Styela clava: one gene and its partner. The protein of the gene in region 2 interacts with the protein of the main gene of each other region in a pairwise test. Links are inferred from orthologs where the notes say so. Each region holds a gene or a part of one and is shown on either strand. Other genes may lie near its edges. The genes, in order: CCR4-NOT transcription complex subunit 2-like and pumilio homolog 1-like.

Region 1 (16,523 bases), about 7.6 Mb from region 2:
TCTTCAACCATTGAAAATTCCAAAGAATTCGGAAAAAAATGACTAAACTAGAACAACAGCAATAACATAATAACGAAACGATCCATATTTCGTGTCCGATCACAGCAAAAAAGTACACTAAAAATTTGATCAAGAATCTGCATTGTAATTATTACAACAACGAACCTGAATTCCTTTTTGATGAGATGATTGTTGATTACGCAATAAACCAGATGACATAAGACCTGATTTATCTGAAATTCAAAAAATTATCAAATTTCATGATGTTTTTTTTACATGACATATTCATATCCCTTTTGCGCTCTAACTACTAGAACGCCGTACCTACGAAATCTTGTTACTACAAGCCCCATGTTCACAACCTCACCCAAGGATAAACGGCCGTCTGCCGAACTTGAAAGATTACAATCATTCAAAATTAGTGGCCGCCTCACAGAGACTATTCAGAGTGGCATGATGAATGTCATAAAGATGACGTTTATAAATTATTTTTTTATAAAATATTACTTAATCATACAAATGGAAATACAAGCATTTGTCCACTTTTCATAGTCTGTTTCATACATATTTTTGCGGCAAACAAACTAGGTTGTTCAAACATAGGTCAATTACTAATACAGTATATTTACCACAGACAAACAAATAACAATTAATGTTTCCAGTAACAGATATAAAAAATATTGATAATATAGTACGAAGACCAATATGTATAGTTTATATATTCACTATTTTCTAATTAGAATGATCGAACACAAAATTAAAAATAAAACAATTACGAATTGATCATTGTACAAATGAAATTTCACAATATAAATTAATCATTATAATTTATAACATGACAATTGACATACCATCCATATTTCCAAGAGCGTGATGAAGATTACCCAAAGGACCCTAAAAATAATTGAATAAATAAGAAAAGGTTATTTCATTTGTGGTTGAACTAGGCTCAACAAAGTGGCGCATCGTGATAAGTGTGCGTGGGTTCGCAGGTTCAAATCATGTGACATACCGTATTGTAAAATTAAGACCAAAATAACTCATTAACTTGATCAGAACATGATAGTTTGTGAAAAGCAGAAAATTTGCTTTAACCTCAAAGCAATTTGAAATTCAGTTTTTAATATGATGTACAGGGTGTTCATAAAGTCCAGTTACAATTTCAAAATCTAGTTATGATGTCAGTCACAATACATTAACCAGATTTGTTTCATTTTAATCAGTATTTATTCAAGTTTTCTTATTACTTCATTTCATACCTCATATGCCCACTATTAGTTGCATGAAGCACATTGAAGTTCTTTTACCGAATATAATACTGGTCTTTATGAACACCATGTACATATCAATTTTTCAAATAGGTGACGCTTAAATATTATTCCTTTTGTTTGCAAATTGATGTCAGTGATAAATTGGGTTATTTATTTGTTAGAACTAGGGCTCGGCATTTTCGAATACCTGATGATTTCAGAATCTAATCGAATATTTTTTCCGAATCGAATCTTAAATACTTGGGAGTCAATGGGAGATATGTAATTGTATGCGACTTTTTTATTGTAATTGGTTCTGTCAACAAATGAATTACTGAAAACGTAGAATACATCATTAAGACAGATAGCGAGCGGAGCATTCACACACTATGAAAACGCTTATTTATCAATAGGAATTGTCATATGTCAGAATTACATTGAAAAAATATGGCTTCAATAAAAAAAAAATGGGTAATTCACCTCGACCATATGCGGAAAGAAAAAAATAAGATGGCGGCGATTCCAAATTTAGCTCTGAACCGATTCAGATAATTTACTATTCGAATCGTTTCGAATATTCGATTCTAAGTGCCCAGCCCTAGTTAGAATATATTGATTATTGCCTTATTAACCTTTGAAAAGAATCTTACTCCTTTATATAATTAAATATAAAAATACTATGGGAATTCATGATTTAATAAAATAATATTTACATATTTGCTACTGGATTCATCACCTCTGCCATCTTGTTCTGGAACTAGATAAAAACAAAGATTTATTAACAAAGAAAAATTTGAAAAAAAAATGACTTTTTTACAGCTGAACCATCTTGTTCTGGAACTAGATAAAAACATAGATTTATTAACAAAGAAAAACAGCTGATCTTGTTCTGGAACTAGATAAAAACAAAGGTTTATTAACAAAAATAATTGGAAAAAAAAATGACTTTTTTACAGCTGAACACTTCTCTATAACTAGAGTAATGCTCACAAACATGAGCACGAGGGGCCAAGAGTGTTCCCATATACCACATAAAAATTTTCACATGAATTAAAATGAAAACAGCTAAATTTGTGATGAAATAATTCAAAAAATAAATCTTTAAAATATGAAAACTTTGAAATTGATCGGTCCATTAGTTACAGATTTTTATTTACAAAACCAACAATAATAAATATGCATACACTTTGTGTCAGATATAAAACTCACTTTGGATTGTTTTGTATAAATACATAGGATTTGCATAAATAAAAATGTGAATTATATGAAATACATTTTGAAATTCGGCTCACCAAACTTTTTAGTTATTACCATTTAATTGGTGTTTTTTTTGAAAAAGATATACAAGCAGAAATATTTTAACGAAGTAGTAGACATAGGCTTGGTATACAGCCGCACAAGAGGCCGTGGTTCTCCATGTGACTAATTTTCTTCTCTTAGTGTATAAACATTAAAACCCTATCATGTCAAAAATTCGAGATGTTAACAAAAAATCATGCTATTAAACTAATACTTAAAATTATCATTTCTTTGACACTGGTAAAAGTTAACCAATAGAAAACAGAATAAGCAGTTTTAAAGCATTTGTGATGTTATCAACATAATATTTTTCCAAATAGTTAGCATTTCAAATAGTTGGACCTATATTAAATAAATAAAGAATCGAGAACTTACACAACGGCTTCATAACATTCAATGCAGTAGCTGCACCAGGAAGAGCAGGAAAATCCTCATTTTGTATTTGAAATTCAGAATTTCCACCAGGTTTATTTAGCATACCTAAGTAAATTCAAACAATGAGACATTTTTACAAAAGGTCAATGCAGAAATGAGCATTGTTTGAACAATAAAATATAGTTGTGAATTTACATGAAAGCATGTCGTTATAAGATCCAAATATGTGAATATTTCATTTACCATAAGGATGCTTTGAATTAAGTGAATCAGATGGTTGTGATCCAATAGGTCTTGCCCTCTGTGCCAAAGCTGGAAATTCAGCTTGATCAAGATTGAAGGGATCTAAATAACAAAGTTTGTAAATAAACTTGATATTTTGAAACGTGTTTCATAATTTCTCGTTCTAAACAATCTTTTAGGCAAGAAGTCAGTGATAAGTAGAGATATATTAGATAGTCAGAGTTACTGATTTTAATTTTGGTAAAGTGATCTATATGACTCGGCGGACTTGACTAGTGGCTAGAGAGGGCAATGACCTGACTTAGGACTCTAACTTTAAAATTTGCTAGGTCTTGATCTTACTAGCGATCAAATAAACTGTGACTGGACTTAGAATCGTAACTCCAGGTTATTAAGAGACTTATACTGTACCCCAAGTGTGTAAAAAAAAAAGCAATGAAATAGTACCGTATTTTACAGACCATAAACACGCTTTTTTTTTTTCTTAAAAAACTATTGCTTTATCGCCTACACTCAAAACCAATAACAGTATTATTGTTTTATAAATAGACCGCCATTTTACGTTGTCTTTATATAAAATAAATATTCATAAAGAATCGTGTTTTTTGTTTTGTTTAATAAGCTTTGTACGATAACCTGGCACTCCTTAAAACTGTTGCGTGAACTTGCGTCTCATAGTCCTAAGCGCATTATGTATGGAAAAAAAAAACAGTCTAGCCAATTTATTGACCATGCACCTTATGGTTCGTAGAATACATACTCCTCAAAAACCGTTGTATCTTACAGCCCGATGCGCCTTATGGACGAAATCCCAGTCTAAGCAATTTATCTACAATGCAACTTATGGTCCGTAAAATATGGTAACCAAATGCCGAAATAGGGTAATACTCCCGAATAATTCAATATTAATTTCACAGAAATAAATAGAACTAGGAAAAATATTGATGAATTGAAAGAATTTTCTACGGCATCAAACTCACTTGAGATACCATTTGTTATTTGGCTTGTAATAGTTGGTCCGCTCTTGAGAGCAGGAAATTCACTAATGTCAAGCATTCCTGATGAACCATTTGGTCCTTGAGGCTGTTGTCGAAGTTGAGATAAATTTTCACTTCCTATTGCATTCATACCTGATGACTGGAGAGAATAATACTTATTTAACATAAGATTTATAGTGGTTGCAGGCACAAAAATTCTGGTTATTGATCTTATGACATGCATTGTTCGCCTCACACAAGCTAGCTGTTAGGGCATTATAGGTCATAGGTATATATAATAAATTGCACTCAGGTATACACCATTCAAAATTGGCACTTCTCCGCGGCTCCCCACAATTTTTCTTTGTGGGCTGCATTTGGTCCATGGGCCGCAAGTTGCACACCGCTGTTCTAAACAAATGGAAACCGTTCTTCGGGAATTCTAATCTGGAATCTCATGCCACACAGAGAAATTCAGTGCATTAAATATAGCAATGATAAAGACTGAAGGCATGGAATTGCCATAAAGTTTCTTTACAATTTCGATTTTGTTATGGAGTCAGTTCTCAATATATCTTTACCAGGTTTGTTGTTTATCAATCAGTAATTTCAAGTTCGAGTATTTTTACTTCATTCAATACATCTGTGAGGGCCAAAACAATATATGGTGTATGATAAATTCACTTTGCAATTTTAAAAAATTTCAAGACTTCATGGACACCCTATATATCTTCTATTCATCTATTGGCTTTCCAAAAAGTTAACAAACATATTAAAAACGAATATTCCTTTGATATTGTAATTTGCATTTTTAACGCCTTAAAATATTATTAAAGTTAAAAAAGCTGGGAATCTAAATGCTTGAATAAGTTTTAAAATGATAGCGATTTTTTAATTGAGCTAACCACAAAGGGTTTAACACCTATAAAAAGATAAAAAAACTGAATTTGAATAATACCAATACAATAAACAAATAAGAGAGCATTGAAGCAGGAAAAGGATATGTTTCAAAGACAATAGTTTTACATACTGCAAGTTAAATAATTTTTCATTCTATCTCCAGATATTTTAATATGTATATATACTAAGCATTCAAAAAACCATATTCGAAAAAAAGAAGTAAAATTTACCTGGGTATTTTGAAACGATTGATTCCTGAAACAAAACAAAAAATTTTCAAATAAAATATATTACCATAAACACATTCCAATCCTAATCAATCTAGTCTTACCTTGAACCAATTAAATTATTATTTCCCCTGTTCATTCCTTGTTTCAAAGAAAGCATATCTGGTGAAATTCCTCTTGTTGGACTCATACCTTGTCTTGATAACAAATTATTATTCATTTGTGATGTTGGAAGGTTGGGTGGACCTATCGACATAGAACTCCTTGACATTGGCGGAATACCCCTGCGTAAAATATACCATTTTGATCAGTTCTTTTAACAAAAAAATATATGAAAATAATCTTTCTTTAACCTAATCCTCCCGGTTTGACGCATGCGCGACGTTTCAGACGTTTTGCAATGCTGTGTGTATACCATGAGGTCTGGAATGTTTGTTATGGTCTTGCTTGAAAGGAAATCTTATTCCCCACACAACGATATGAGAATGAACCTTATATGACATTTAGAAGTGATAAAATTTCGCTTACATATCACGCGTGTACTTCCCGCTGCGATATAAAAACGTCGCACAACAAGAAAATGATTCCATAAACCTTGGCGTTGCGCGCTAACCAATAACAAAAGCTAGTATGATAAGGTCTTATTTTGAAGGTCATTTTATATGCTACATAACATAGGAGAGTGGACATCTCACAACGTCAGGAAGTTATAAAAATATCGAGTCGTTTGATCGCAGCTGCCTCACCGAAAAAAAAGTTAGGCTTTTATCTCGCAAATTCTCCTTGTCTGACGATTATAAGCTTTTATGATTCATAATAAATGTTTTATTATGACTCACAAAAGCTTTCAACGCGATAAAGCACAAACAAACAACCGATCGATCTATCAAGCTTAGCCTGGCCTGATTCGATGTGGTGCCTTCTCAAACGGAAAATTTCCAAAACGCTTGAACATTGCGCGCTATGGAAAAGCGTTTAGTATCATATGAAAGAGAAAACCAATGTGCAGTCAACTGTATAGTTACATTTCAGCTTTACAATAGGTATAGACGTCCAACAGCTGATAGAATGAGAGAGTGTAAATATTTTTGTTATTTTTTGACGTTACGAGAGACCTCTTGAAAGAGGTGTTTTAGTTTACGGTCCTCCAGTGACATCTAGCGTATAGTACTCTAAAATACCTTTCCAATGGTATATAATTATTGTATATTGGGTAAATTTTGGGGGTCGTATGACATTAATAAAAATCTATTCAAAATTGGGCTCGATTGGGCGTCTGAATCAGGTTAATATGGGTCACACATAGATGGAACAAGCTCCTGCATTATATTCTATATCAGCGATCGGCAACATGCGGCTCTTTGTTCTCAGAGCTCTGGTTCCCGTAAATCAAAGTTGCTATAGCAAAGGTATGGAGTAAACATAAACGATCACAAAACTGAGTTTTACTTGAAAGCAGCATTTTTTCGAGTAAGTGCGTCTTGAGTTTTGAGTTTTCCCTGATAATTTTGCACCACACGAACAAAAAGTTTGGAAACCGTTGCGTTGAAGCCTTAGACTCAACTGTGTTGGAAACACAGGTAACAAGTCTCAGGTTCAAATCCCACACCCACCAACTCACCCAGGGTGTAATAAAATGGGTAGGCAATGCCGACCCGACAAGATTGTGATCCTGAAAATAGTAGACTTACATATCAGGGCCTGCTTGTATAAGTCCTTGTTCCAAGCAAAAGACATAAAATATATGTGTAAAAAATCAGTGAAAATGTTTTTTGAGCGAACCTGTTCTGCTGTTGTTGTTGTTGATTTAACATTTCTCCTCCTAAACTTGTTGGTGTTAAATTCCCTGGTATTGAAAAACTCCGACCAAATTGACCCAAACCTCCCATTGTATTGGATTCTGTTAAAATAAATTAAAGAAAATGAATATTTCAATGTCATTTTATCCTACAGGTTCAAGTATCACAGCTTGAAGTAGTAACTGTAAATTATCATGTAGCATTCACACATCAAAAAATTTTTTTTACGATAATTTAATTCGTATTCGATTAGAAACGCTATGAATTTTGACGAAATTAACTTACTCTGCTGTCCATATAATGGAGAAAATTGTGAAGATTGAGACTGCCCTAACATCTGCAAAAAAAAAAAAGTTTCAAAATCAAACAAACACAATCTATAACCAATAAATTTTTTAGAGTGAGATGTATTTGTTATTTAAGTTTAGATGGCGGCGATTGAAGTTTTATTTGATTAAGATTTGCTGCATGAAGTTCTAATATGTTTGCTAAATACAACATTTTATGCAACCAGATACAAGGATGGAAAACTAAAAACAAGATATTGTTTTATATCTATCACAGGAAAAAAGAGACTGCTTTATCATATGGTGGACCAAGGTTTCTTGTCCTGTCACCAATTCCAGTCATACTCTGATAGCGGATGAGGTCGAAACAGACCAGTGGCCACATGAATCACTCTGCAACAAAAATACTTTCACTTCTGGTTCCATTCGCTATTTCAATAGCCTTTTCAATATACAGATATAGGGCTCATGGGCTGCTACATCAGCAAGGCACAGTTCTGCGATTCCAGGAATAGCCCCCATATTACAGACATCAATTATAACAGTGAGTGCAAACCCCTCCTTTCAGAGACACCGCGAAATGACACTGCGCAATAATCTAAAAGTAAGCCCAATCTAAAAACATCACCGTTGGATTCCTTGTAAAAAAATTATCTAATTAAAAGACAAAAATTTTACGAGCAGCATTCGAGAGTTTTTAGCAATTATGCCGCAATGGTTAAACCAATGCACTGTTTACCTTGGTTAGATCAAAACTAAAAATATTGAATCTTTGACTAACATATGACATGAATTACTTACGTCCGCTACAGAACTTCCAGAGTTAAGATACCCCATGCTTTCAAGTCCTCCTGTCATGTCGTTATCTTCAAAGAGCTTAGAAATGAATTTATATAATTGAATAAGATTGAGAAATAGTTCAGTGTCACATTAATAAAGAATTTCAAATTCATAGCTTCAATGATTTTATCAAAAATTTCAAGTAAAAAAACAACTTACCATATTCTTCTTTGGCGTGTTGCCAAAACCAGAACTGAACATATTGTGGAAACTGTACTAATTAGTTTTCCATGTGCCTTGCACAACTATAGATACAATGTAAATATCGTCAACTAGGAGAATAAAACATACAAAATGATGAAACACCAGCAAATTCCCACAAGAGACGGAATAGAACACTAAACAATAATGTAAGAGCTGCAAACAAAGCGATCTTGCCTCTGGCCCTGGGTTAGTTGACAAAATACCCACAGTCGGATACAAGAAATTGTTTTTACCACTGGAGGGCAAAACGACGCGGATTCATTATTTACCGGAAAACGTTGAACGCGGAAATGTATATTACTCGATATAAACGAATAATTATTTCGTTTAATGTCGAACAAATATCTGAGTGCAAATATCAATTTTTACCGACTAAAATTTTAACAACCATGCTACGCCATTTTATATACTTGACAATCTCAAGACATAAGGGTGAAAACCAAGTCGAACACTCCGAATCTTCGGAGGTTTCAATCATTTCCTATCATCCCACTTTCTCGAGATACAAGTCAATTTTCATGAACCTTTTTACACAGGGCTGATTACTGTTACAAATGTCCTTATATTAAAGCCTCAACATTTTTTCTAAACTGTTTGGACTAAATATCTAGCATGATTTCAGTGATTGTTTCGATTACTTATGAGTTTAAAATGAGAAATCTTCAAATAGATTTTTCGAAGAACCATTATGAGGCCTTACACATACTGAAAACTACGTTCTCTGAATTTGGTTTCCAACCTAGGACAGATATTAGGAATATATAGCCGGTTATTTGTTCTTTCGTCATTTTGAAATGTTTAATTTTTCGATTAAATTATTACCTATGATGTATTTTACCCTCTACTGCAGCTATCAATAAAACTAATGTATTCATCGAATAATCCCTTACCAGAAGAGGGGCCGTGGTTTGCCGTCTCATCGACTTTCCTCTCCCCCAAGATAAACATGTAAATACTTTCCTACCACTGGCAATGCATGAAAGATAGATTTTATAAAATATGCTCCAGGGGTTTGCTTACGAAGCATCCAAGGAAAAGGCAGTACGGTACCGTATTTCGTTTTTTTTTTTGCATTACTTTAGTTTTTGTGGAATGCGTCAACGCCTTCGCAGAGCATGTAAGAATCCCAAAATGGTAGAATCTTTTTACAAGTAAATATGAACTTCAAGAAGCCATGGTTGAACCTTTTTTCTCTCAAATTATGGTAACAAACTCATTCTGGAATTCACACAATACCAGAGAAATTTCATAATCACTAGCTGAGCAATCCATTTACTAAAATCCTCATTGGGAATATTGGAGGCTTCTTCGCTTAGGAAGTGAATGCCAACAAAGTGACGCATCAATTTTCCTGGAAATTGAAACTAGACTTCGTGGCTCAAGCAGGTATAGATGAAAGCGCGCTTAGTGGAGGATAATTCGGCAAACGAAAGTGACAGCCATTACAGGCTCTCAGGAACGTAAGTCTTTGGCGCAAGAGCTTTTGCCGGACCAACAGCCATCCTATCACTTTTCCTCTCTACCAGGATAACTGAACAAAACTCTTTCGGAAGCCCCACTAACATTTCCAACTAACAAAGTCTACCACAAAATTATAAACATAGCACAAATTCAATTTTCGATTCTTTTACTTCTTAAATGAAGAGGTAATTCCAAATACCTAATGTTGACGAATAAGAAATAATATAAGGATCAAAAATATTAAGAACCATGCTTCAAGTTGCACCAAGCTGCTAAAACACCAAAATTATAAATGATATCAATAAGTGCATCATAAATAAAATATAGTATACAGTTTAAATGAAAAAAAAATATATGAAATTCAAAAACCACAACATTTGATACTGTGAGTAGGGATTATTCAAAAGATTCCCCTCAGGAAAATTTGAATTCAAATAACCAAAATGGAACTTATTGTTCAAGAAAGTTCCATAGAAATAATCAGTGATTTCATGATGAACAGCATTAATTTCAAAAATCATTATGAATATAAAGATATCACTAATTGCGAGTATTTTGAAACAAGATCTTTTCCTGGTGGCCCTCACACAATAGAAAAGTTATCAAAAACACCAATGATCCCGGTTCTGATATCCTTCCTAAATACTCAGTAATTATTAACAAAGAGTGTAAAGCTCCATATATACGAAATCCAATTCCTTTTTCTTGAGATAAATATCATGCTCCAAGATGAGCATCCTAATGCAGACGGTTTCCATTTATTCCAGCTAGAAGACTCATTTTTATTTCACATCTTCCAATACTACACATGCCTAATAGCTGACGCCCATTTTAGAATGCAATATCAATGATTAATACTAGTTGGCTTAGCAGCATCATGGAATATATCTCTTCTTTGCGGTGAATACTTTCATGTATTCGGTCATCAGATGAACAATCTCAGATGCCTGCAAAGCAACGGATTTTATATTACGATAATTGAAAGCATACATGCCAAAGTGGCAGTATCTGGACAATGATACTGCAACTTTACTTTTACGTTTGTATGGGGCATTCAACGCTTTCACTTCTAAAATGGCAAAGAAAAGAATACAAAGAAAACTACTAAGGACCTACATTCGTCTGGTGTGCTCCGTATAGTCAATTTTGTCACACTCACCAGCTCTTCGAATTAGGGTTCCCGACCCGCCGGTGGGTCGCAAAAAAGCTCAATTTGGGTCACGGTAAAATCTTTTTTGACACTAATTTATAATTCCATCTTTAGTGCAAAAATATACAAGCACACCGGTTTCATTGAAAGTATTTTTTTTTATGATTTCCAGTATTATCAAATTTTATCAATTAATTATTATTAAATTATTATCAAAAATGCGAAAAAATTTAGCCAGGTCAAGTGATGTAAAAGTAATGATGACAGAAGTTTTGAAGACAGATGGACTATAAGTCAATCAAAAGAACTACTAAGACCCTATTTTTTTGGTCAGCCAGTCTTTTTAATTGTTCTTGGTATATCAATCTGAAGTGCAGTAATAATATTAAAACAATCAGACCTTCTCCTTAGACATGGAGTAGAAATGCTTTTCAGGAACACCTTCTTTTTCAACAACAATCATGAATCTGTTGTCACATCCACCATATGTCATGATATTTAGGTACTTGTAAGTGTTTTCAATGGCCTGAATATAGAAAAAAAAAGATGACCAGAAAATATGGACTACCGCATTCCACAGACCATAAGTCGCATGTCAATAAATGCTTAGATTGGGTTTTTATTTATACATAAGGCGCACCGGGCTATAAGACACAATAGGTTATTAAAGAATTAAAGTGCACCTTTTGGGCTGTAAAAAATAGTAAGTCAAAAAAATTGTTTTGTTTCAAAAATCTGACATAAAATTTCGTTTTCATTTTTCAAGACAAGTTTCATATATAACCCAACAAAAAGAAACAAATACAGGCCTACAATATGCATGTTTATATAAGTATAAGAATGATTACTCGCTTCAAATTTAAAACTCATAAGACAGCTTAATATTAATTCACTCAATCAGACCAGTTGTTAGTAAAATAAGAAATGATAATTTGAATCAGGGGTGTGCAACCTTTATTAATACAAGAGGGACAGATACAAATAACTGGGTGAAACTGCGGGCCGCATCTTTTTTAGCATAGGCTACCTATTAGTTGCAGGCACAAAAATTTGGTTATTGATCTTGCGTTGTTTGCACAAGCCAGCTGTTACGGCATTGTAAAGTCATAGGCATAGATAATAAATTGGACTCGGGTATAGGCTTTTCAATGCAAAAAGATTGGAATTACTCGCAGACACCAAATTAAATTAAAAACTCCTTCACGGGTCGCACATCATTCAAAATTGGCACCTCTCCAAGCGCCACACAATTTTTTCCTTGAGGGCCGCATTAGGCCCACGAGCCCCAGCTTGCACACCCCTGATTTAAATCACTGACAATAAAGTGTTCAAAATACAAACCATTGTAACATAGTTCAATTCATTAACACCATGTTCATGTACTGCCAACCATATTGTTGATAATTTATTATGTTTTCTGTTTACTTCAACCTGCGAAAAGAAACAGAAAGATCTTTCAATATATTTCTACACGAGAGATGAAAAAGTATTAAAAATGTATTGTTAAATGTATTAAATTTCAGTAATATCTACATTAAAATTTGATTCAATTTCATCAAATCAAGAATACTGAGACACTTCTCAAATATTTTTTCCTATTTTCTTTTCTGTTTTCAATATCAGATTTCTCATTTCTAACAAAATAACAAAAAAGGCATTATCCATTGATATTTTTTAAAACCAGTTGTTAAAAACAATAGAAAAAGCATCATTTCATGGCTACTACCCAAAAACAGATGATTTTTCTATGCAAAATTAGAATATAGATTTAACCCTTTCCATGCGATTTTTATTTTTTATTAAATAATCGTATTTGCTACGCCGACTTTATGCATTTGTACCCCCACAACTAATCGATCGACTAACGAAAAAGTAATGATCCTCTGCTGCCCACTGACGTCTCGTTGGAAAGCTTATTTAAAGAGCTTGCAATTGGCGATTAAAAATTTTTTTTTTTTCAAAAGGGGTGGTCTGAGTCACAAACCGGATAGAAAAAAGGCATTTTTTTTTCTTGGGTGTTGAAACTTCAAACCGTGATAAAAAATAGAAATATTCGCTAAATCCTTTACTGTTACCGCTTCTTGGTTGGCAAACAATAGCATAATATTGCTGTAGCAATTTCGTTATCTAACTCAAAATACTTTGGTAGATGGAAGGGATAATATGTCTTCTATTACCACCCAAAAAATACCGAAATTTGCATAAATTTCAAAAACACTCCCTCGTTCCGCCGCAAATAAAATTCCCATGGTAAACGAAAGCGAGATTTACCGTCGCTTGGGTTAATCTCGATGAAGACTTCTTATCAACAAACTAAAACCCGGAAAAACTAGACCAACAGTTTGCGACCGATTGCTGTATAAAACAGTGGAGTACATCAACGTACCCGCCGCAATCTAGCGAGTTTTGTCGTGGGTACGTATACGTGCCCACCGCACAAAAAGGGTTAATGCAGGAGTGGGCAATTACTTTTCTGAGTAGACCAGTTACAGATAATAAGACTTGATTACTGGTCCGAACTCCGAAGGCTTAAAATTCAGTATGAAAAACTTTGAATGAAAAATAGTTCATTTACAGCAGGTGTCCAACAGCTAGGGTAACGATCATATAATATTAACAGCACAATGTAACAATCGGGTGTCATTATATTGTGATTTTCATCGACGTTTTTACGACGAAGAAATTTATATACATAAATTCTATAATCGTAATTTCAGCAGATGCAAGTGAGCCAGATCCAGCCAGTGGGCAGTGATTTGCCCACCCCTGACTTGAGGTTATAAATATGAGTTTCATGGAGATGTACATTTTGTGAATTTCTTGCTTCTAAATTCACTGATATAAATTATTATTACCTGAAATAATTTTGCTCCATACAATGTACATTTCCTTGTAGTTGCTAAAATAACTCTGGCACACTCACTGGGTGAAGTGTTTTTCAACATTGTCCATTTTTCACATAATTTTGCCCGAAGTTGTCTATAGAAGCAAATAAAGTAAGTCATAAGCAGTGTTCCCTCTAAGGTGTGCGCGCGCACACAGCTTTCAGAGGCTGCGCACACGCATAGATTTACTGCGCACAGACGTATTTCGATATAATGTAACAAGGTTCTTTTTTCACCCTTTATTTGAATTCAAATAAAACCATCTGTTACAATCAATTTCATTTGCTATTTTCCATGTATGTTCATTGCTATCTACTGATAACACATAGCCTTTACTGAAGCATTTACAATCTATAGAAAAATTGAATAACCAAAATTTTCTTAATAAGCCCACTTATTACCCGGTTAGAACACCAAAATTTCTTCCTTGGTTTTTGCACAAATATTAGTCATTTCCAAAAAAGTGCGCACACACCAAAATTTCTGCGCACACAAACTACAAAAATTAGAGGGAACATTGGTCATAAGTATCGATAAAGAGAAATTGGTTGGGACTGTGTTTAGCAGTGGTCCCCAAAGTTGATTGACAAGGAGCCAAAATTAGAAGCAGAGAGATGTTTGCGGGCTGATAACGGTACCGGTACGTATAATTAGGTTACCGGTTAATCTAATTGTTACGGATATACACATGCTTAAACTGTGATAATGACATAACAATTGGCGGTTATCTGGAACGTAAAAAGGAAAAACATATTAGTATTAAACTATTTCACTTAAGTTCAGCCGGCCATATTGAATCGTTACACGTGCGGTAATTGGCCCGCCGGCCGCGGTCTGGGAACCACTGCTGTAAAGAATTAAACAGTTGAACCGGAAAGTAACTCAAAAACTCAAAGTCTAGGTCAGAGTGAACATGTAAAATGGGATTTAAACAATTGGTGGTAAGACAAGAGCAAGGCATTTTGGGACGCCTATCCTGAGGTTAGAAGTCGTGAGAAATATATTTCTTTCCTTTTAAATATTGATTGAAATCATAATCTGATAAATAGGTCTCAAATCTACTAGAGTCGAATATTGGCTAAAATCACCTAAACTATAATGATAAACTTGATGAATAATCTTAAGCGAACAAGTACTACTACATTTATCAATACTTTTCCACCTAAAATCTGTACGCTTTAAACCTTACTTTAGGTTTCGTTTGTTTTCCCGATTCTATAATCAGTTTTATTTATTTTGTTTTTATCAATTATTTTATCGTCTATTGCTGATTATGGAGTCGAAATAAACTTACCGTACTTACTTAATAATCTTAAGAGACAAATGGAAGTACAAAATATCAAAAAAAATTTTGACGAAAAATAACCATGGATTCTTGGATTCTTTATTACCACATAAGATACACATCCATCTAATTCCTAATAAAGTTAATTTGCTACAGATTATCACTACAAAAGCTTACCTTAGCTGTTGTTTGTTAGCATTATCTATATATCTTCTGGGATAAAATTTCTCCAAGATATCTTTAATGCTGTGATCAGCAGTTCTCATATCTCCTTCGTGCATTTGAGCACATATTGATGATAGTTCAATTGCAAGTTCTCTTGTCACAGGAAAGCGATCTGATGTAATTTCATCTGCAACCTAAAAACATAGCATATTTATATGACTACGGTTTAAATTCATTTTATTTTGTTGATCCATTGTGAAACCTTACAACAGACATAAGCCATCAACAGGGAAAGAACTGCTGTTTTTGGGAGGACTAGGTGGTGGACATTGTATCTGGTTATGACAGGGTAGGGAAATTACTTCTCCGAGTGGGCTAATTACAGGAGGCTCACAACTTAATATGAAAAACTATGGATAAAAAACAATTTATTTACAAAAGCTAGTCAAACATATATAACTATATTACATAATAATAAGGAGCACAATATGATAATCAGGCTCATTATGACGTTATTTTCATCAATATTTTCAATGGAAATTTATATCCAAAAAAAAAAAAAACATAATTCAGCAGACACAGATGGGCCGGATCTGGCACGCAGGTCCTAATTTGCCCACCCCTGGGATATGATTTGTCATATTTATCCTGATGGAGAGGAAAGTCGACGAAAAGATTTAATTATAAGACGATCCATGGCCTCGACCAATTACCAGTCAATGTCAAGTATGAAAATAGTTAGTGATTCAATTAGAATGCATGGACCATAATTGGCCAAGTGACCCACCCTACAATGGCAAGGAGTTCATCAATCCTCTCGAACATAATAGCAAGTGTGATGTGCTAACTAACAAGCTAAGATCTTTCAACTGCAACACCAACAGCGCTAGTTCCAACTCTCTAACAACTGGGTTAACACACCCAAATAGGTATATTGAAAGCCAGTTCATCATTCACACATTTCTAGTCCAAATGAAAATTATTCATGGTAGACAATCATAAAATGTTATGTTATAATAATAGCATTATTGAATCATATTTATTTGTAGAATTTTCACCTGATAAGCAATCAGAATTTTTTCCTTCTCGGTTTCTCCATCTTGGTTTGACGTAAGAAACAAATGTTGACAAAGAGTTACTTTAACCATTCTCGATGAATCAATAACCTTGTTAGAA
Region 2 (16,764 bases):
AACACTACCCATATGGTAAAGTAAGAGTTATTCATGCAGAAGCAAGGTTGGGACTGATTGGAGCAAGGCTGATGGGAGCAAAAGAGGCCAGTGGTAAGGATGAATATGGAATATATATATAGAATGCATTACCGCATCTTATTATGGCCTTGTTTTCTTATATTTTATTTTAGGAGATTTGGGAGACAATTGGATATTGAATTATTAATTCAAATTTGATTAAACTGTATTTCTCCTAAGTCCCAAGAATTTTTTTTTAATGTTCACCTATTTTGACCAATAGATTTTTATCATTAGTATTTGAAAATGAGTTTTGATTCGTTGTTCCTTTGAGAAACACTTATTACTTATTTCCATATAAAAATGGTTTTGATAGTTTTGCTTCATGCGACTGTCTGATAACTGACGAACTGTAGAGAGATTCAATATTATGATCAGCGTGAGGCCAACATTCTATTCAGTTTTCCTGGAGCGTGACTGTCATTATTATCACCACGAGTTGCACACATAATAGGAAGTAAATTGCTTTCGCTCTAAGATCCTTGCTTTGACATTCTTGTATCTATGTTATATGAATAAATGACTGTCTTATACCAAACTTGGGCAAACTACGGCCCGTGGGCCAAATTTGGCCCGTTAGGTAGTTCAATCTGGCCCGCCCGATGCCACAACCAAACTAAAACCAAATTTTGATGTTTTAGCTAAAAATAGCTCAAAGAATTTGTTGACATTGCGATTAAATTTAGTTTTGGCTTATTGTTTTCCACTTTTGCCTTTGTAACACTGTAAATAAAATTCTGTTCATAAAATGTAACTTTTACTACGGCACACTTGCATGGCTCGCCAGTCTAGGGGGCAAACTTTTTGGCCCCTGGTCCAAAAACCTTGCTCACCCCTGGTCTATACCAACAATTGAAAAAGTTAAAGGAAATTCCATCATGACCAGTCCAAAAGTGATACATTGCCATGTAAATTGTGGTTACATCTTTTTCTACATTATTTTTGTAATCAAAACAATTTGAAAAAAAAAAAATAGTACCTAAAATATTGTCTTATTTCTAGGTGATGTGCTGGTGTTCCTGGATTCTCACTGTGAACCCAATGTTGGTTGGATTGAGCCATTATTGGACATTGTGCAAATGAACAGGTATGTGTAGGAAAATATTAATTCAGTGTACGGTAAATATCATTCATGTATATGCATAGGAATCTATATTATCCCAAATACTGTGTATCAAATATTTTTTTAGTTTCCGATACACTATATCAGTCAATGTTATCACTTCATCCAAGGTATGTTATATTTAAGGTGAAAGTACTAACCAGATATCTACAAGTCATTACTGATCTTTTTTCTAAAACTGGATGTTTGCCACCCTAATAGTTCTATGGCAGGGGTGCACAACCAGCGGCCGTCATAGACTAAATGTGCGGCCGTGATGATGTGTTTTTTATCTGTGAAATAAGCACAAGGCGTCATTACCTAGAATATTTTTTGTACATGTGATGTCGTTGACGTACTTACCTACTTCAATTCATAATATTTTTTGCGACACCATCATCTTGTCGCGATTTCACAAAAAGGTATTGAAGTATACTGTAATAAGGGAATTTATTATTTAGGAGTTAGCGCTTGGCTTGGAATATATGTCATTCATTTGAATAATACAAACCGAAAAAAAAATATTCGACTGCCCCTAACAAGTTTTCTTCAGTAACTTGTTCAAATTTCAACATTTCATGTAAATTTATGACTAAGCATGACCAAAACTAGGTATTTTTAAAATATCTCACAATGATGTGAAAATCTATTGATATTTATGATTACGCGTAATCTATATTTCAATGATGTTTGTCTCATAATCCCAAACCCGCAGCCTGTCCTTATTTTTAGATCCACTGTTGTCTGTCCTGTAGTAGATATTATTAATTCCATGACGATGTCATATATCGCATCACCTGTTTTACGTGGTGGTTTCAATTGGGGTCTACATTTTTCTTGGGAAGATTTACCCTATATGGTTGAAGTGAGTATTATGTTTATTTAATGTTACCATATTTCTACCCAAGAATTGACAAAATTTAATAATTTACTATTTTGAATACATTCTGAAATAACGTTTTTGATATGGATTATTGAATAGGTTCTAAATTGAACTGTGTTCAACACAGGATGTGTACAATTTTTAATTTGTCAATTAGCAGGGATTGGACATTATGGTGCAATGAATTGAACGTTAGAATTGTTCTGATCTTCCTATTTTCTACAGTTATTGAAAGTTTAATAAAATTATGTTTTCCAATCGTCAATAGCTCAAGATAATGCATTTTCAGATTGAAAATATACTAAATATTTCTAAATCAAAGCAATCACTCTATATAGATGGTAACAAATTTAAATGTTTTCATTTCATTTGGGTGTTCATGTTTTTACCTCAAAATTTTAAAAAGAATGGTTGTGAGAGCATTATGTTTATATTCAATATCTGCTAGAACATGTTAATATTTGATCCAAATAGGCAAATCGTTTAAATAAAACATTAACTAAAAAATTTTTTCACATTTTTATTGACTGAGCCCCAATGTGAGAAAGCTAGCTATCAATCTAACAAAAAACCCAACACAGAGAGACTACAAAATTCTTCCAAATGACACCTAAATAGTATTTTTTGCGTAAACGGCAGACTGTATAAGGCGTCTTATATCAGAGCGAATATCAAGCTGTTTGGAAGCTAATTTGGATTGATAACTCGCGTCTGGTTTATATCAAAATTGGCATTCACAGCCCGTTTAAAATGGGTTTTGGTACAACACACTGAAATAGACAAATCGTCAGTATCACTACTTTGTTTACTACAGACGACAAAATTGAAATCGATCACTCGAAAATTTTCATTCGAAGACTGCCTTTGAAAAAACAAATTTCGATATCTCTCTGTATCATCGACACCTGCAAAAAGACTAAAAAAAACTTGTGATGATACCTTAATGGTGTTGCTATTGCGTTTGAACGACGAGAAATAAGTCTTTTATTAGAGATGTCAAAATTTCAGACTGATCAAAATTTCAGACTGATCAAAACAAAAATTGCTTGTCCACATTATGCATGACCCGAAGTTTTTCACCTGAATAGCCAGATTTTAATGCACATCTGTTTCTTGTACAATAATAACTGCTAATGCCATGTATTTTGATTTCATACACAGGATCCATCAGAGCCCTTTGCTTCCCCTACCATGGCTGGAGGATTGTTTGCAATTAATAGAATGTATTTTAAAGAGATTGGTTATTATGATGAAGATATGAAAGAATGGGGAGGTAAGCTTTGTATAATGTGGTGAATTGCTGTCATGAGGAATGAAATCTTCATATTCTTCCTGAGCAAATAGATTGAGTTTTATGTGAAGTGTATTCTTAAGTGCCCTATATGCCACAAAGTGCCATTTGTAAGATACGCAAAGTATTATTTTAGTATAATAAAACAATATAGTTGTTTGTTATCAATATGGTCATCGAAAATTTCTCTTATTTTATTGTTTTGTAAATACTTGGCTAAGTAAAACAACTGCCTTGGCTATTGCACTGGTTGTTAAATGTTGTCTCCGGTTTGAATCTTGTTTTGGAATGATCTTGAATAGAAACAGTGGTTACAGCATCTCAATTAGATTCATATATTCACAATGACGCTCTTTTCTAAAAAGATTGATTGAAACTTGATCATATTAATGATCATGAATATGGCACTAGAATATTGTGTATTGAACTGCAGGTCACTTTGCTTACTTCTATTTTGGATCCACATGACTTGTGTCTGTTGTAACAAGGATGATTTAACAAGATAGTATTAAAAAATGAGAGTAACATACCTAGTATTTTTCCACGAGATAGTTAGAAAAAGTTGTAATTCATATCTTAATCTTGATTGGTCTGAAGTTAGACTATGATGACTTAACATAAGCTCACTAATATAATTGCTATTTTATGACAACCGATTATGTTATTAATATTTGCATAAATGTCAATTTTTTTCTTCATGAATTTTCATTTTTAATAGGAGAAAATCTGGAATTGTCGTTTCGGTTATGGATGTGTGGTGGAAGATTATTAATAGCTCCCTGTTCTAGAGTTGGACATATATTTCGAAGACGACGTCCAAACTCTATACAAGAAGTAAGACATTTAAAAACTAGCCTGATTCCAGTGATCTTGATTTTCTGATGCATTTGTGAGGAAATAAAGAATAGTCGTTGATGCTAACTTGTTGTCTTCTTCGTTGGCAGGTTGATAATCCGACAAGAAACGCTGCTCGTGTCGCAGCAGTTTGGCTCGATAATCACAAAACAAATTTTCTTGAGAAGAGAACAACAGCAAAAAAATTGGATTATGGTGATATTTCTTCACGAGTGAAATTGAGGAAGGATTTAAAATGCCACGACTTTGACTGGTAATTTCTAATTTTGTTGATCTCCACATTAAATTACAACCAAGCATGGTAAACTAAAAGAAAAACTCCATATACCACCCAGGTAGGTTCGATACAGGCAAAGGTTCACTAAAAACTTCACTTTTTCTGTAAGTCAAGCAAAAATGGAAATTATCATCATCATAATAAGAATTTGAATTATTCTTCTCAAACTGCATTTTTTTCACGTTTGTTTAGGTATCTCAATAATATATACCCTGAGATAGAAATACCCGGTAAAAGAAAGAGCAAAATCAAATACTATCGGCCTACATCAATGGACGAATGGAAAAATATCAAGCGAGGCCACATTAAAGTCACTGATCTTGATTTATGTCTCCAAAGCGATGAGGAGAAAGGATCGCTAATAGTTGCGACAAAATGTGATCCAACTTCTTCATCTCAGTTATGGAGAATGTCAGGAATGGGTATGTAGTGTTGAAAGAATTTGAACTTACTTTGAAAAGGCGATTGGCCAACCTGGATTGACTGGTACCAAATCATTGGAAAAAAGTTATTCAGTAATATAATAAAGTTCAATCTTGTCTTGTGTCATTAACAAACTATGCATAGATATCATAGGCAGCCCTTATGATTTCTGCCTTGATAGTTATTGATGTAATCTATTCAGGTGAAATAAAATTTGGAAGTGAATCAAGATTATGTATGGATGCTGGAAGTTCTGAAAACCCGAGGTTAATGAAATGCAACGGAGAGGAAGGAACGCAAAGTTGGAGTTTCTTTCCTAGAGTTCGTCAGTTTTTTATTTCATAGAATATTAATCATCAACATGTGTTATTCATAGCGTTTATTCATTGATATATATGGCCTCATAATTAGGGCACATTGGTGATTATTGTCAAGTAGGACATCGCAATTTATGCTTCATTTTTAGGCAGCATGCGCTTTGATTCTTGTGTAATTTAAACTCGATCACATTTTCGTGCCACCTTCATAATTTGGAACTATGTGTTGTTTTGTGACGGCATTGTTCTTACCATACTTCTATTATTGCTTATTAGATTTGGATTTGCACCGATCCTTTTACATTATCGATACATCTGGTTGTATTATATATTATTCTATCTACTCTTTGGATTGATTTAGGTGCAATTTTTTTCGAATCATGGTTTATACTTTAGTGACACCTGCAATGAAACCTTATTTATTTGCAACATTCATCTTTTATTCTTCACATCTTACATCAACTTGGGCCTTCCATGATATTTTTGTCAAATTAGAAGATTTTGTTTATTATTTCCAGGATAACTTCTCAAAACATGGCGAGATAACCGGTAGATTGTACAGCGCTTCAGAAGGTCTCTGCCTACAATTAAGTGGAGGAGATTTGAAAGAAGAAGAATATGAACTTATTATGCAAATATGCAGCAGTCCGTCGGTACAAACCTTTACAATGCAAACATAATCTAACATGATACAAAAGTACTTTGGAAAGATACAAAATATATATTATATCGTGATTTTAACATACAAACAAGCAAAGCATTTTCCACCCTGCACTTACCTGATTTCCATGTCATTGATCCCCACTATCTTGGAAATAGTCTTTGTTTGTGATTCATCGAGGTGATGTGTACTTTATATCATTCAACATACATATTGGTTACTCTCTTTCATTCTTGTATATTCAACTCTGATGATTTTGAAATATTTGGATATCTATCAAAAGTTTCTAATTATTTTGTTCGTCGTGTTATATTACATTTATAACATACGGGATTCTTTCGTTTGTTGACTTTCTTTTCAAAACTGGTTTTTAATTGTATTGAAAGATTGTTATGCATTTTTATATAGATTTGGAATCTTTTGGTAGAAAACCCTGTGCATAAATTTTAAATTATACCCGAAGCAAAACATAGCTAATTAAACCATTTACCTATAATCAAATATCTACTTCATTGCGTAACATAACAAATTCAATTTATCTATAAACAATATGCCTGAAACTAATAAGAGGTTGGTTACACGAAAGGTTTTTATGCAAAACTATTAGAAGTATGAATTTTTCAAAATGTAGTGTTTAGTTTTGATGACACAATGATAAAATAGAAGTCAATGATTTCAATGTTGAATTACGTCTATGAACAGATAGGTAATTCAATGTGATACAGTGTGTGAACCAATAAAATATTGAAATTTCACAGAAATTTAATAGTTGTCATGGAGTGATTTCATGCAATCCTTGTTCAGAGGCATTTGTTTCTGTAATTTAAATTTTTCAGTATAATTTTGTTATAAAACTTCAATTTTTTTCTTGGCTTTATTTGAAATTGCTTCTGCTAAAACAGTAACTTTGTTTGATATGTCTTGTTGGCCGGCATTACTGCCACCTTTTTTATGTATTTGTTGAATATGTGGGTATTTTGTCATACCTTCCTCTTTTACAACATATATTTTCCCAGTATAATTGTTTTTGTATGTTGGAACAGTCTTATGAAGTGCCCACTCATGATCCTATCGCTATTGATTGATATTAATCCATACCGTAAGCTAAAATTTTATCATTATCTTGATTCAGCACTGTGAAATGATCTTTTTGTAGCATTTGATGATTTTTTTATATAAGTTTCATCAAGATTGTGACAGTCACTGGGATGTCTTGCCTTAGCATGCTTTTCTCCTATACTCATGAGATAAATTGGTATATCTTACACGACATGGCCGGATGTTATGATTTCATTTTTTTTTTGTGGTATTTATGATTATAGAGAGCTAAGTAATCCTGCAATGTTTCTGTGATCGATTGTGTCAGCATTTGGCAACCAGAGTAGAATTCTGTATGCACATCAGTCGTTTCTCCAGGTGATGCAAGCTTCACATATATTTAGGAAATATTGCTAAATTGAGTTTGCTTCGTCTTCACATTTAAGTTTTTTTATGAGAGCTCTCCAGTTTTGGAGGTGTTGGTCAGTCTGTCGGTAGTTTATTTTTCACCAAAATGAACATACTTTTGATGCAAACAAAAACTAGGAATGGAAATGGCATTCCAGGGTGAAGGGTGCCACGAAAAAAACAATGTTGGTTATCAAGCGGCGACACCCGTGATAAAAGTCCAATTTTGATACAGGTAGAATAGAAAGAAGTCCAACAAATATATGTAATTAAGAAGATTAATGTCTAAAAACAAAACCCGTTACAAAAAAGAGACTCCGGACACCAGTGGGCTGGTAATGAACTTGAGGCAAGACTAGGATGTAAGACGTTTGGAAAATAATAAATTAGAAGGTTAAGATATTGCAGTTACAACGATTCCCACTACGCCGCAAGTTTTGTCTAATAGGGAGGACTGCGGAATTTCCAGTCTGCCCACCCACGATTTGAAAAACGCTACTTGTTGCACGTGTACCGGTACCGTTGGTCCGCATTTCTTTGAAATCTTAATTCCAGCTGGATTACGTTATTAGAAAGTAATTATTGGCATTATAGAACGTAAAACTAATTTGTTATCCTTCAAAAAGCATGTAACTCTTTGGCGAGAATTCGCGTTACTGCCAGGTGAGCGTTGAGCCCATTCGCGGCACACGTGTTTGTTGTTCTCATTCGTCACGTGCGACGGAATTACCCACAATTCATTTCGGCGAAGGAACAACAATGACGGGTACCTGGACGATGTCTTAGTTTTAATATCATTTTTGATCCAGCGTTTGCCATATTATTTCAGGTATGTAGCTATCTATTTTTTATCCAACATGGTTATGTTGTGAATATTTGTTTATTCTATCGGTTCAAATGCGATTATGGCTTACTTTTTTTATACTTGGATTGCTGTTTCAGATCAGCCTTTATGCAATGTAAACGCAGTCTCAAACTTTGTTTAGGCCATTGTAAATAGTGTACCATGCAAAGACCTGGCAATGTTGGTGGACCAGGGGGAGGAATGTGGCCAGAAGGTGTGCCAAACTTTAATTTACCCCCAGGACAATTGCATTTGAACAGACTTGCACAAACTGCTGGGGTAAGCTTCAGATCATACTTTCTGCTAAATTTCAGATTCATTTTTAATTAATATTTTTCTGATGTAGTTAGAGTTTGCATGCTCGCTATTAACAGTAATACCGTAACAGCAGGTAGCTTCGGATGAAATTTTCAATCGTTTATATCTCGACTAAATTGGGTCATATTTTGCTTCTGTCAGTTTCTATAGTAAGTCCTTATATATGTAAATCTGTTATCATATTCGATCGCGCAGTTTAATTTATTTTTTGATTAAAAAAATCAGGTTTCACTATAAAATTGACACTCCGTTTTCAAACAGTTCAAATCGTGACGCCTACTGACTGGCTGAATCTAACTATGCAAAATGTCGACATTCGATAGAGGGCGTTATCAATGTATATAGAAAATTAGACTGATCGCGAGATGTCGCAGGAGACATAAAAAAATTGAAATTCGAATAATTTTTTTATCACAATAATAGCATCTGACGCACACGTTAACTTGACGTCACACTGACATCGCTCACTTTGAAGACGAAGTCATGCTGCGTCGTCGTTACGGATTTTACGCCAGACATTCAGGCGCCGACGAGTTGTCGTAGATTTGAAATAACAACGATCATTTGTTTGATTGGTTCAATTGCTTTAAGCCAGCGATTTAAGCCGCTCGATAATGGAGTGTCAATTTTTTGCTAAAATGTGCTTTTTCAATTAAAAAATAAATAAAAATGCGCGATCGAATGTGATAACAGATTTAGGTATATATGGACTCACTATAGAAACTGCCAGAAGCACAATATGACGCAATTCAGTCGAGATATAAACAATTGAATATTTAATCCGAAGTTGCCTGGTTTTACGGTAGTGCAATATACAGATATAAAGTTAGAATTTATACAGTTATGACAGTGAGTGGAAATTCCTCCTTTACGAGACAGTCTGGGCCTCTATATGGGCTCAAACCGGCACCATGCAATAAGAAAACGCAATCTAAAAACGTCGCCACTGAATTACTCTTTGATTTGTACCATAGCATTCGCGAGTTTTCCTTTTAGATTGTTGACAAGCAGTATGCCACAGTTCTTCCATTCCTGATTAGCAGCTATATTATGCAACATCAAGAAATTAATGTGCATCTTTGAAGCAGGAAGCTCGATGCGTGAGAAGAACACATGATGCACACGATTAACTTACATAATTTGTGCAAGAATAATTGGATCCAATGTCATAGTTATGGAACAATAAATAATTTTTGATATCATTTGTTAGATGTATTATCAAGCCCTTTGTTTTATGCTAAAAAGGATTTCCAAATTAAAAAAATTGCACCTTACATTGAATACAAATTTTTAAAACGAAGGTGTATCATGATGTTAGCAATGTAAATTCTTATTTCAGATTATTTCCCAAGACGATCCCACATCCATGTATTCCCTCACCAATCCTGCTTCGACAACAATAAATAACCACTCACAAACATCTTGGAGTGGTGTCTCTAACTATTCTGTACGTTTTATCGATTGTGCATTTATGTGTGTGCATTGTTATATAGCGATACATCGGTAGTCGAACATATTTTTTTTTGGATTTGTGTTAGGCTACAGATTTGTTAGACTACCAAAACTTCTTTTGCTATAAGAAACAATGATAATTATTTTAATTCGTTCTTACGCATTCCAAAATATCTAAAATATTAACAAAACGTGTACCTGTAGAACAATAAATATTTAAATGTGTACATAATGAGGATTGAACATAATGAAGATAGAACTATAAAAAAGCGATTAGTTGCTGTACATTTGAGCTAATTTCTGGCAGGGGAAGGGGCTTTATGGGATTAGTTTTTTGTGTGCAATAACTTCATCTCACTCTGCGAGGTGTTCGAGCACCGAAGTATTTTTGACGAGAATATTTTGATAGACTACCGAATCGTTCGAGTATCGAGGTATCACTGTATATAGAACTAATGCATGTGTTATACAAGATGCGAATAGATTGCCTTAATTCATTTCCATTCAATCTTTAATTAAAAAAAATTCTCGTTGGACCTAAAATGGTGGAAAAAGAGTTATAAGCCAGTCTGCCATAGATTCCATTTGACAAAATTGGAAGTTATTCCAGGAAAATATTGATCTGTAGGCCCCTAAGCTGCAAATGTTGTCATTTCATAACCCTACATCAATCTTTGCACAAGTTCCTGCAATTTTGTGTTCTTGGCTATATTGGTTAAGTGAACAGTCATAACTAATCTATGATAATTTCAATCTTGCATATACTTTATATCTTGATTAATTTTACTATTTTTATGTTTATTTTACTTTTTTTTGTACTGCAATCATGCATGCCTGGTCCATTAACTAATATTGTGCAAAGCGTTTTTGTCTATAAGAAAAAATAATGCTCGGCTTTTTGTCCTTGGCTCCATATGGAAAAACTTATCAATTTAATATCATAAAATGACTTCCCAATCTTACTGGCATGTGTTATTTAATTTCTGTCGGCTTTACAAATAATCAGCTTTTATACTGTTTCGACATTCAAAAAGTGCGCTGGCATAGTGCACCAATCATCAGAGTTAGCTATGATGATATCGCAGGGTCGAAACTCCGATTTAAACGCCATAATCCATATAAATGTGTCAACTAAAAAGGATTTGCTCTGTGTATTTTATATCACTAGTTATTGCCATTTATATGATATTTTAATTTATTGTTGGATCTCATATTTGCAGAATTCTGCTGGTACAAAATTGTGGAACATTGACAATGGAAATTCAACAGGTGGAACTTCTGATCGAGCTTCATTACTAGGTACAAAGCAATGGGGCAGAGAATCAGGTGGCGCTCCATGGGGCCAACCAAGTCCAACAGAAAAAACTCCATCAAATAATCCATCTTTACCAATGACCTCTTCAGCAAATTTACTTACAGGTGATTGTAAATTGAGGGTTTTTTAATCAGTGGTACATCTCGATTGCTCCAACACAAGCAATAAAAGAATATCAAGTATGATGTAATTCCTACTATTTTGTATCTTGAAATGCTTTTTAGACCCTCTTGAAAACCCAGGTTTTCCGGTCGGACCCATTAGATGTTACAGTCCAATTTGGCTATTAGGAATTTCAGAACCCCTCCCTCCCTTAAAAATTCCTAACTACACCCCCGTGACCTTGCTTGGAGCAAATTTTGTAATGAAAATGAACAATTTGGTTTTACCGCCCATTCATATTCTAGAATTCTTATATGCAATCATTTTCATTTTAGGAACAGTCTGTTTTGTAATAAAACCATCTATTATGTCAAATTTTCTCAAAAATCAATAGTTTCACCTGAAGAATATTGAACTATATATAATTTATTGAAATTTGTAATGCTCAATTTCAGGCAGCTTCAGTACATCAGACTCTGGAAGTAATCCTATCGGCTTGGCAACACACTCGTCTGCTGCATTGGGATTCAACATTGCTGATTATGTACTTGGTGGTTCTGTAGGTGATACATCCAGCTTGATGAACCAGTCTGCTTTTGTAAGATGCTGTTTCTACTTCTCATTGTTATTTAGCCATTTAATATCCTGGCCTATGTCGAACGGACACCTGATTAGCGCATATGTTATTCTTATTTTTTGTTGGAATTCATAAAAAGGGTTTGAATGAAAAAGTCCTTGTCGAGAGGGGAGATTACACCCTGTTTAACAACTTGTAGCCTGCGGAATATTTTGATTTATGTCGGTTTTAGTGATTAAATAGAAAAAAATAATAAGCTTGTGATTAATCCCAAAATCTGTATGCTAATTTCAAAACCCTTTCAAAACTGATGTTTGTTCAAATCGGTGGTTCTCAAACTTCTATGATCTACGACCCCCTTCTATAGACTCGCAGCACTTATGACCCATGGCTTTATTTGAAAAGTACCCAATTCTGAATTGAACTTTTCATTAAATATTTTATGCACAGTTGATAATAAAAGCAAACCAACAAAAGCAAAGGAATGAATGCATTACTTTCAGTCACAAATAAATAAAAAACTATGGCAGTTTTACTTTAATCAATATAGCCATGGGGAATGGTACCTAATGTAGGCTTCTGTTTATAGCCAGCAGACTACTATTCTATGGGCTCAGTTCGAAAGTAAAGAAAAAACCGCCATAATTTGGTATATCTCTGTCTAACAAGCATTTCTTTCAGGCGTCTGCTCTGGTAACTAGTGGTGGCAACAACAATGGTGCTTCAAACCCAGTTTCTGGCCAAATGGGAAAGTTACAAGGAGTTAGTTCCGAGCAGAAAACATCCAGTTCAGAGAGCACAAGGTATAGGATTTTGTTCATACATGATTGTTGGCTTGAACATCCTGTGGAGAAATGAAAAAATTGTTTTCTTTTGGTAGAACTGGAAGTAGCCGTGACAATTCTCCAACAGAGGATGAACTTAAAGCACACAGGCTGTCTGCAAATCAACAGCAATTACAATCAATCTTGGCTCAAACAGTTCCTTCGGCTGTTTCCAGTAGTGCAACAGTACAAGTAACTGCAAGCAGTTCTCAGCTTACTGATCAGACTCCTCAGAGTCAGAATTCAGATTCACCTGAAAATGCATCTGCTGGTGAGACTAATTTTTTTGATGGTATTTTCACCATTATTTTAATATTTGTTATGGTTGCTATGTTCACAACGATTATGGAATACCTGAGAGGACTTATGTAGCCTTGAGACAATCAGAGTCGCTGTGGGTGCTATGGAGCTGGGGCTCTTTTCGGCTAAACTATTTACAAAACACTAAACTGACAAAAATTTTGACTCCACTCCATAAACATTCTGGTATATGCAAGCCTAATAAAGATGCTTTGTTAACTTCTTAATACTTATCATACTTAAGTTATGGTCGGAAATTTTATTATTGATAATCACTATTGGAAGTCTAATTCTGGCTTCAAAGAATTCAAAATTTTGATTCCCGACTCCTGCTCCGATATCAATAAAAACATCTTAAACCTCCGACACCACAGACCTGATCACTTCTGTTCGGCTGATGGCTGGTAGAGGGACTTTTTAGATACTACTTTCTCTTCTACTTTCAATATATCTTGTCCCAGTACCTAAATATCCTATTAATAGTTGGTCCTTTCTGGTAGATTAATTCAATTTGATTTTCAGTTTACAGAAGCATGGACAGTTAATGTGCGATTTATTTCTAGCGAGATCAAATTGGAAAATTTTCATAATTTTTTATTATTAGGTGGAAGTATAGCAACAGTCACTAGTTCATCTGACAATACCGGAACCACAGAACAGCCACAAATGAGCACATTTCCTGTTGCTGGTGATGTTGAGTTTGGTCAGTCAGAAGGTCAATCTACGAACACATCTATTGATGGAGTTTTGCAACAACAGATGAGTCAACTCAATTTGGATTATAACGCTCAACAACAAGTACGGTTTTCATAATTTTAATCTGATGTAGGATTTTTGAAAATAACTTCAATTTTTTGTAAAATCATGTATGATTTTATGAATATTCGCTTGAAAACGAAAAATCGTTCAAATTTAAAGAAACTCGCTCAGCAAAAATGTATTCATTCAAAAAACAAAGACTGTTGACTGCTATGAACATTGTCGTGAAAGTCTATCAAGTATTTTAAGACTATCAGATAACAATTTCTTCAGCTGTTAATTAAGATTATCAAGGATTATCGTAACGAATAAAAAAGTTTTGCAGACAACCGAACTACTGAATTATCAGCTTCGTTGGTATATACTGACTGAATCTCTTATGTATTAAGCGTTTAAACATTTTTATTCAAATTAGCTATTACTCACTATAGTTTCTGCTTTTCAATTATTATTAAACTTCATTGATGCAAAAATCTATGACACCATAACACCGATATATAACATATGGACTGATGTGTTGAGGTGATTAGGATGTATAATATGCACTTTTTCAAAATTTAATGATAAAATGTGTAACCAGGGATGGCCAATACTGAATAATTCACTATATCGAATACAGTCGAAAGTTTCATATTCAATATTCACCTTGCTAACGGCGAAAAGTGGCCATTATCCGGAATTGTTCAATATTAGCTGAAAAAGTATTCGATATGTTTTGGACAACCCTGCGTGTCACGGGAATTAGTGATTTTAATGAGCAGCTATATTTTCATATCATAGTAATTAGTAGGGATGCGACGAATCCAAAAAGGTTCGGCTCGGCCGAATCCGAGTATTTGAGCTGGACTCGTATCCGAGTCCCGAGTCCAATACTTTTTCATTAGCTCCGAAATAAACACCTAAAGTGAAGCTGTTGTTCACGTATATTGGTCGTAAATTAAACATTGTGTAAAATGAGACTATGTATCGGTAATTCATAACGTTGCACATAAACACTATTGATTTCGAGACAATCATCTTTTTCTTAGTTGGCGCCGATAATGATAAATGAGAATGAGCAATTGTTGATTGCAATTAAGAAAGGCGTATTTTTCTTTCTCTCCATGAAACAGATACGAAACGAATTCAACGTCGTTATGGGCGCCCAAAAGGAGAGAAGAACTCTCTTTTTCCGACGCAACCACTTTTAATAATACAAATCACGGCGCATTGAAAAGCAAAATAAAATTTATTAACATTTAATTTACAACGAATTAGGAGTAAGAATATACCTACCGCTCTCGCTAACAGACGGAAACGACAAATGTGACAAATCTTCAATCTTCAATTTCTAATTTTTCATAAAGCCGGTAAACACCGCTTTTTTAATTAAGAAACGGCGTAACAGAATAGCAAATATGTTATGGAAATTTTTCGAGATTTTAGGGAAAAATATTATTTTGATCACTAAGGAATGCCATTATTGCCGATTTATTTAAGTATTCAGTATAACTGTTTTAACCCGAAGCCGAGTTGCGTGAATTCTCAGTTTTCAATTATTATTATTATACGAAAATAATACGGACACGATATAAAATTAAAAGCATAAAAAAGTCAACTATCAGCTCCACAAATATCGCAATATTGTTCGCTTAAAATTGGGATCTTAATTTACAAATTGTGATATGGAGGATCAAATCCTACACAGGAGATAGAAAATTCGTATTCACTCCTAAATAGTTCTTTAATATCTTCGCCGATGTGAACTCACAATTATGTCCGAAATATAAAAACCAAACAACGATGTATGCCGTGGCGTGAGAATGAATATTTACTTGTTAATAACGAAGTGCCTTAAATTTAGTTTACCAGCATTAACTGGAATGTTGGCCGCCGAAACGATTGCGGTGAAAAAAAAATAATCAGCGATTATGACAAAATTAGGAAATATAAACGCCATGTTGTTACCGAGTTTACAGTCTTCTAGAAAATTTCGAAAAAAGCCTTTTTTTACATTCCGGTATTCGTTAATCGAATAATTCGATTTGCCCACCAATCATGATGGCATATGTAAATACTGATTAAGTAACGATAAAAAAATCGACTCAGATTAACATTAAGAAATAGTTTCATATTTCATGCATTTGATCGGCGCTGAATGCGAGCGTGTAAACGATTATAACGCCACGGACATTCCCGTGGACATCCCCACGGAGTTGCACTTCTGTCAAAAATCAATTTTCACGATTTTTATTTTTGTTTATAAATGTGAGTACTCGCTGACTACGGATTAATGGTCGATGATTAGTAGATGTTCGAAATAGGACTTAGCAAAATATTCACCAAACACCGTCAGGCGGAATTTCGATGTTAACGAGGCATACTTTTTAGTTCGTTAAAAGCCATACTTTGTCGTGAATTTCATTTTTGACGCAATCTTTCAATTTCACTTAGGCAAGCCCCCTGTTAGATAGTTGGATAAAAGAGAGAAATAGTGAGAGAAAATCGGCCGGACAGTCTCGTGGCAAAACAGAACGAAAATATTGAATTTCTCGTCGAATGCGTCTTCAGTCTGCGATTGACTATCGTGTGACATATGACGTCACGGACTCGGGTAAAATCATCAAAGGCTCGGGCCGAATCCGAGTATCAAATTAGGAGAGATTCGGCCACGAATCCGAGCACGAGTCCGAATCTTGTCGCATCCCTAGTAATTAGACATAAAATAGCATGCTTCAATGGTTGAATGTTTTATATTGATATGTTGAAATAATTTGCAAATTCAACCGGTGTACATTCTCGAGGTATTTACAATTTCTACATTTATAAAGCATTTCTACTTTCTTGCTATAACTGTAAGTAAATTTGTAAACTGTGTAGAACTGTTTTCCATAATGTACTATGTTATTTGTGTAGTTGTATAGTATAGTAGGTACAGCTCATATTTTCCACATATTCAGCTTGAAATCTAATTTTCTA

What was found.
Region 1: the proteins of pumilio homolog 1-like (region 2) and CCR4-NOT transcription complex subunit 2-like interact in binary tests that used the Drosophila melanogaster proteins (3 or more experiments, as listed by UniProt). The link is inferred for Styela clava from reciprocal best matches to the Drosophila melanogaster genes pum and Rga.

Annotation. Positions count from the first base shown.
Region 1 is NC_135255.1:11,664,811-11,681,333, forward strand, and holds the start of CCR4-NOT transcription complex subunit 2-like, read right to left. Parts: upstream 8,591-16,523; 5' UTR 8,399-8,590; coding exon 8,357-8,398; intron 8,234-8,356; coding exon 8,159-8,233; intron 7,408-8,158; coding exon 7,356-7,407; intron 7,172-7,355; coding exon 7,054-7,171; intron 5,556-7,053; coding exon 5,376-5,555; intron 5,300-5,375; coding exon 5,275-5,299; intron 4,305-5,274; coding exon 4,148-4,304; intron 3,270-4,147; coding exon 3,168-3,269; intron 3,030-3,167; coding exon 2,925-3,029; intron 2,008-2,924; coding exon 1,964-2,007; intron 895-1,963; coding exon 852-894; intron 234-851; coding exon 166-233; intron 1-165. Other genes in the region: pleckstrin homology domain-containing family H member 1-like, read right to left, coding at 10,738-10,809, 11,413-11,538, 12,354-12,443, 13,868-13,991, 15,360-15,541, 16,406-16,523. UniProt on the Drosophila melanogaster protein: Component of the CCR4-NOT complex which is one of the major cellular mRNA deadenylases and is linked to various cellular processes including bulk mRNA degradation, miRNA-mediated repression, translational repression during translational initiation and general transcription regulation.
Region 2 is NC_135255.1:4,101,425-4,118,188, forward strand, and holds the start of pumilio homolog 1-like, read left to right. Parts: upstream 1-7,986; 5' UTR 7,987-8,144; intron 8,145-8,301; 5' UTR 8,302-8,321; coding exon 8,322-8,438; intron 8,439-9,816; coding exon 9,817-9,924; intron 9,925-11,149; coding exon 11,150-11,348; intron 11,349-11,801; coding exon 11,802-11,944; intron 11,945-12,604; coding exon 12,605-12,726; intron 12,727-12,803; coding exon 12,804-13,018; intron 13,019-13,651; coding exon 13,652-13,845; intron 13,846-16,764. Other genes in the region: polypeptide N-acetylgalactosaminyltransferase 11-like, read left to right, coding at 1-93, 1,063-1,147, 1,895-2,027, 3,207-3,318, 4,055-4,170, 4,281-4,444, 4,661-4,890, 5,094-5,212 and 1 more. UniProt on the Drosophila melanogaster protein: Sequence-specific RNA-binding protein that acts as a post-transcriptional repressor by binding the 3'-UTR of mRNA targets.